2 linked regions of the Canis lupus familiaris genome follow. The protein of the gene in region 2 purifies or fractionates together with the protein of the main gene of each other region. This does not show direct contact. Links are inferred from orthologs where the notes say so. Each region holds a gene or a part of one and is shown on either strand. Other genes may lie near its edges.

What was found. Proteins that work in one complex are often made in the same cells at the same time.
Region 1: the proteins of COPB2 (region 2) and COPG1 purify together in Homo sapiens (co-immunoprecipitation; 8 studies listed by BioGRID and IntAct, counting the BioPlex papers as one, with this or other methods). This does not show direct contact. The link is inferred for Canis lupus familiaris from reciprocal best matches to the Homo sapiens genes COPB2 and COPG1.

Annotation. Positions count from the first base shown.
Region 1 is NC_049241.1:2,861,837-2,864,501, forward strand, and holds part of COPG1 (coatomer subunit gamma-1), read right to left. Parts: intron 2,101-2,665; coding exon 1,962-2,100; intron 1,638-1,961; coding exon 1,539-1,637; intron 1-1,538. UniProt on the Homo sapiens protein: The coatomer is a cytosolic protein complex that binds to dilysine motifs and reversibly associates with Golgi non-clathrin-coated vesicles, which further mediate biosynthetic protein transport from the ER, via the Golgi up to the trans Golgi network.
Region 2 is NC_049244.1:36,073,241-36,077,065, reverse strand, and holds part of COPB2 (coatomer subunit beta'), read left to right. Parts: intron 1-229; coding exon 230-360; intron 361-641; coding exon 642-849; intron 850-1,882; coding exon 1,883-1,993; intron 1,994-2,968; coding exon 2,969-3,183; intron 3,184-3,825. UniProt on the Homo sapiens protein: The coatomer is a cytosolic protein complex that binds to dilysine motifs and reversibly associates with Golgi non-clathrin-coated vesicles, which further mediate biosynthetic protein transport from the ER, via the Golgi up to the trans Golgi network.

The DNA.
Region 1 (2,665 bases), on a different chromosome or scaffold from region 2:
ATGGAAATAATTCACAGAAAAAGAAATACAAATGGCACACATATTTGGGAAGAATGCTTAACTTCTTTCAATATACAAGAAATATAAAATAAAAACTACAGGGACACCTGGGTGGCTCAGCCATTGAGCATCTGCCTTTGGCTCAGGGTGTGATCCTGGAGACCTGTGATCAAGTCCCACATCGGGCGCCCTGCATGGAGCCTGCTTCTCTCTCGGCCTATATGTCTGCCTTGCTCTGTGTGTCTCTCATGAATAAATAAATAAAATTTAAAAAATAAAATAAAATAAAAACTACACTAAGATACCATTTTCCACCCAGACTGGCAAAGATCATTTGATAATGACCTGATAATATACTCTGTATATTACTGATTACTGTATTATACTGATAACATACTATGTTGTCCACAGTGTGGAAGGAAAGGCATACAGTTCCAATAGAAGGCAACTAGAAAAAAAAAAAAAAGAAGGCAACTAGAAATTTATATCAAAATGAGAAATGCGCTTTGACCTGGTAATGCCTTGGGAAGTTTATCCTATAGATATCCTCAGGGAATACATGCAAAATAAAGTATGTGTGTGTGCATGATTAGTCACTGTAGCATTGTTTGTAATAGCAAAAAGCCTGGAACAATCTATATATTTATCAATACAGGCTGATTCTATAAATTATGGTACACCCATACAATGGAATATAAGGAAGCTACAAAAAAGTATGAAGATTTACTCTGGGATGATAAAAAAGTCTTGGAGAAGAACAGTGCTAATATCTACACAATAATGCAGATATACTTCATGCCACTGGGCTGTATACCTGAGCTTAAAATGGTAAATTTTACATTATGTACATTTTACTACAATTAGAAAAAGAGGAAACTCTATGTATTTTTAAATATATTTTTAATTAGAAAAAGAGGAAACTCTATGTATTTTTAAATATATTTTTAATGTAATCTCCACCCCCAACGTGAGGCACAAACTTAGGACCCTGAGATCAAGAATCACATGCTCTACCGACTGAGCCAGCCAAGCATAGGAAAGACAATATATATACTATTTACACGTAAACATCTGAGTTAAAATAGGAAATTGTGCATGTCAGTGTTCGTATCCATAAAATCACTGTTTATAATAACAATGCTGATCAGTCACCTGTCGGAAAGGAACTAGATAGATGACAGGCAGCAAGGGTCGGATATTTCACTGCTGGGCTTTTTTTACTCTATGAATTTTCTTTTTTGTGTTTTTAAAGATTTTATTTATTCTACAGAGTGAGAGAGAGCACAAGCAGGGGGAGTGTCAGGCTCCCCACTGAGCAGAGAGACGGACACAGGGCTCCATTCCAGGACCTTAAGATCATGACCTAAGTTGAACGCAGACGCTTAACCGACTGAGCCACCCAGGTGCCCCTTACTTTGTGAATCTTCAATGCTATAAATTTGAATCCCCATGTTCCCAGTGGGAGCCCTCAACCCAGGGCACAGTAGCATGCAGACTGTAAACTACGTAGGCCCTTCCCACCTAGAAGTGTTGCTTACCAGCCAGAAGCAATGTGTGGGTGTTCTTGTTATCTGGCACTTTGTCTGACCTCTCACAAGGATGCATTCCCAGGAATTTCACGATATTGCCCACAGCCTCTATAGGGAGAAATCCCAGCATCATTAAGCCACATCTCATTTCTACCTTTGTGTCACCACCACTCCCCCATCCTCTAAGCCTGCTCTAAGTTGCGCTTTTAAAAATTTTATTTAGTAATCTCTACACTCAATGTGGGGCTCAAACTCATGACCCTGTGATCAAGAGTCACATGCTGTTCTATTGAGCCAGCCAGGCCCTCTCTAAGGGCCTTTTCATGAAGTGCCATCTGAAGTATATACTCTCAACATGGCCCTGGGTTCCTGGGGGGCCAAGGCCAGGAGGAGTGAAAGGGGAGGACACATTTCAATAGCCAAGGATTTTACCTTCAAGTGTCTTGATAGTAGACAAGGTGAATGTTTCCTCTTTCTCAAACTCATCCCCTACCTCATCCCAGGCTGCTTCAAAGTTCAGTTTCATGACCTTTTGGATATGATCAGCAACAGTGATTTCCAGATCTTCCAGCTGTGGAGATGGAGGTGGAAGTTAGGCATACACCTCCAGGGGAATGGGTTCCTGTTCTGCACACCTGTGGGGCCTCTGCTCTGCACTCACTGCTTATCCCTTTCTTCAACGCATTGGGCAAGTGCTCACTAGACACAGAGCACTGTGCTTGGCTCTGGGGACATACAGTAACTGGACTTTCCTTCAGGTGCTCACAGCCAAGTGGTGTCCTTTCAATAGAAATGCCCTGACCCAAGTGCTCACCTTAGGATGTCAGCTGCAAGGTCACGTCCCTTTGGAAGCCTGCCTAGAGTCAGTGCCTTAAGGATCCAAAGGTCTGCCTTCTACGGCTCGGACACTTATGACTCATCAGATCCCACCCTCTGCCTCAGAATCTCTGAGCCTGACAGATTCTGGACCCCTAGCCTCCATCTCAGCTGTGTCCTCTCTGAACCTGACACATATTAACCCCCAACCTTGGACTGAGAGAGCACATAAAGGTTCCCCATTCATCCAGCCACCAGCTCTTCACTGAGCCCCTACTCTTGGGGATGTTTGTTTCAGGTATGTAAGTAGGACTCCACTC
Region 2 (3,825 bases):
TCACAGCTCTGATGCAGCAGTGAGATTCTGCGTTACAAATACTCATCCAGGAATCTGTTTTTAAATGGAGAAAGAAGATAGAAATTCCAAGAAAATATTTTCTTTCTTGAAGTAGGATTTTACTTTGCGTCCTTACTGTACCTTATCACCCCAGTCATACTCAGTTTTTATGATTGACAGGACTTCTAATTCTCAATAAGGTAATAATAGACTATTTTTCTCTCTGCAGGTTCTTGGTGAGATTCAGGAAATTGTGAAAACAGGGCTGTGGGTAGGCGATTGCTTCATTTACACAAGTTCTGTGAACAGATTAAATTATTATGTTGGAGGAGAAATAGTCACCATTGCCCACTTGGACAGGTAACTGAATATTGTTTTACTTTTGTGTCAAGCATTCTAAATCCAGAATTATGTTTTTTAAACAAAATCTATTGCTGGTTTGTAGCAGTGATAGGCTTGATTTTTCAGTGTGTAGCAGTTTTAGTAGGTTGGCTCTTGTTTATCAAAATTGCATCAGTCGAAGTGAAAAGATTCTGAGCAAGAGGCAGGTTGTGTGTGTGTGTGCGTGTGTGTGTGTGTGTGTGTGTGTATCATTCTACTGATTTGGGCCTACTCCTAATTAGTTTCTGTGTCTGTTACAGGACAATGTATCTCCTGGGCTATATTCCTAAAGACAACAGGCTTTATCTGGGTGATAAAGAACTGAACATTGTTAGCTATTCTCTGCTGGTTTCCGTGCTGGAATACCAGACAGCTGTCATGAGAAGGGACTTTAGCATGGCTGATAAGGTTCTTCCTACCATTCCAAAAGAACAGAGGACCAGAGTTGCACACTTTCTGGAAAAGCAAGTAAGAGGGATTTTTTTTTGTTGTTTGCTGGTTTTCTTTTTGGGTGTTTTTTTGTTTTTTTTTGTTTTTTTTTAAAGATTTTATTTATTTATACGTGAAAGACACAGAGAGAGAGGGAGAGGGGGCAGTTTGTGTAGTCTGGGAAGTTAAAACATTTTAAACATAATGATACAGCCTTCCTGGAGATCCAGCTGGACAGAACTTGGATAGCTGTCCAGCAACTCCCTCTTGGCCACCCCATAACCGAGCATTCTTCCTCATTCCAGGGGAGTCTCTTGAAGTCTCAGCTTGGTCTAATGCACCACATCCATAGAGCTGATGAACTTGCCCACAGTGCATACTCCCATCAGTACTCCTTGTCTTAGGGGAGAAGCTAATTTGATAATTACAGTAGTTGGTTTAAAAGCCTGTTTTGATGACTCTGTGGAATATGGAAGACAGTTTTAGATTTCCTGCCCTTTGATGAATCAAGTAGACATAAGACCAGCAGTCAAGTCCTGTAACCATACCCTATCAGTGTCAGGACCTGCAAGCAAAACGTTTGCTAAATGACCCACAGATTAGGAAAAATTGGAAGGAAGCTTTTACATTTAACTGCTTTTCTTTGAGGGACTGGATTACATGATCTCTGAGCCCAGCTTAGTGAGTAGGTTGTGAACAGCTAGGTCTACACCACTGAGCCTCTCTTTGTTCACTCAGCTTTCCAGAATCTTTGTCTTTTTGACATTTGCTTGCTTTTGCATTTTTAATTTACTAGTTTTACATGAGTTTGTTCAGCATCAGTCACCTTCCAGTGCTTAGAAAATAGCATTGCGGGACTGCATTTTGTCTGCTGGTTTGTTCTTAGCAATTAATTTAATGATTCCTTCGTTTTTCTGTCTTCTCATTAAAGAGTATTATTTATTATGTTTAGGCAGTGGGGTTTGTGTGTTAGCAAGGTAGCCTTAGTTCAAGAGAGAGCTAAATGGCTGACTTGCTGTGTGTGGTATACACATATAGACTGCACACACAGTTACATATGTTCTCTGTTTAGGGCTTCAAGCAGCAAGCTCTTACAGTATCCACAGATCCGGAGCATCGCTTTGAACTTGCTCTACAGCTTGGAGAACTGAAAATCGCATACCAATTAGCAGTAGAAGCAGAGGTATGTACTAAGTCATGATTTTCTGTAATTGATTCAAAGGTTAGTAGCTACTTCTTTGTGTTTAGTTTAAGTTCTCTTGTTAAATTTTTCTGAAATGCAAATTAGTAAATCTCTTTGGATGATTGCCTCTATTTGTTCACTTAAAAAATGCATTTTGTTAGTCTTTACATGAATGAATTTTATTGGAGATCTATTTTTAGCATTGTGAATTTGTTTAAGAAAAAGTGTTTTCAGTAGCTTATAGGAGATCTGTTTTGTAAAAGAAGATGTAAGATATTAGATATTGTAGTCTGGGAACTTAGAGTACAGACAGACAAAGCAGTAATTTGCCATTATCCCAAACTAGTGAGAAAGTTGTTGGTTTTAAAGATTTTAATATTTTGACACAATTTAATGATTTTAATGAACTGCTATGTATTAAGGGCCCCCAATTGTGGTTTAAGTCTAGCATTTATTGGTAAATTCATTTCAGATGTGCTAAATAAATTTCAACTACATTGAGATCATCCAAATGTGTAGCATTTTGATTTTTGAGAAGCTACAAATAACAGATAACATCATTGTTAAATATTTAAGAATATAAAAAACAATGCTCTAGACTTTCCAGAAATGGTACTAAATCACTCATTAAAATAACTGCAATCTAATTACCTTAAAACTCCAATTAGATAGTATTACTTTTAGTTTTACTGTGTAATTACAAAATTATAATGGGTTGATGATTATTCATGCATCATTAAAATTGATTTGTTTGAATTCATTTTGTATATGCGAATAACTTCCATTTTCTCATTATACATTTTGTCATTCCATTCTTACTTTGATTGATAGAACCAGCTTAATAAGCACAGCTCAGTATATGTATGAAATATCTCCCATTGGCAGCCCAGTAATAGGTTAACAGAAGACTGTTATGTTGAAAATTCAAATGTTTATTTCCATAGATGTTTTAACTTGGAAACTCTTTTTTTACAGTCAGAACAAAAGTGGAAACAACTTGCCGAACTTGCCATTAGTAAATGTCAGTTTGGCCTTGCCCAGGAGTGCCTGCACCATGCACAGGATTATGGAGGCCTGTTGCTCTTGGCCACTGCCTCTGGAAATGCTAGTATGGTGAACAAACTAGCAGAGGGTGCAGAGAGAGATGGCAAGAATAACGTGGCATTCATGAGCTACTTTTTACAGGGCAAGTAAGTATTAATCCAAGGTCTAAGAGTGGTGGGCATAGTAATTTAAAGCACTGGTTTCTGCAGTGACTATGAGGGTGGTTTACAGAGGAAGAATGAACCCTGGAGAGAGAACGGACAGGCACCTGGCCTAGCCCTGGCTAGTAGGGGTAGTCCTAGGAAGGACAGTGCTACCGTGGTGGTGTCCACCTTCAGCAAGGGATGCTCTTGACACATTTGGTCGAAATAAGCAAAATGTGCTGTTTAAGGAGGCTTGGACTGAGAGAAATGTTAAACACCTTTCTCAAAAGCCTGGCCTCTCCCTGGCTGAGCCATTTTATTTTACCACAGCAGGAAGCTATTGTGCTGTTCCTGTAGTACCCAAATGGCCAATAGTTTTACCCAAATTGGGTAATTCTGACCTGTCCATGGCAAGAATAAAGGGGGTTGAGGATGTCAGGTACTTCTAGAATTGAGTCCAGTTGTAAAGCATAAAAATACCATATACTTCTCAAAGTCTAGCAGTTAGTGCAAACCAAATCATCTCATCATTAGTTGACCATATTATGAAATAAAACACAAAATATTCAGTAACCTTGCCCTCCATAGTGACTTTTTTAAACCTCACACTTTATTATCAAAGCTTAGTGTATCCCAATGTGTTTT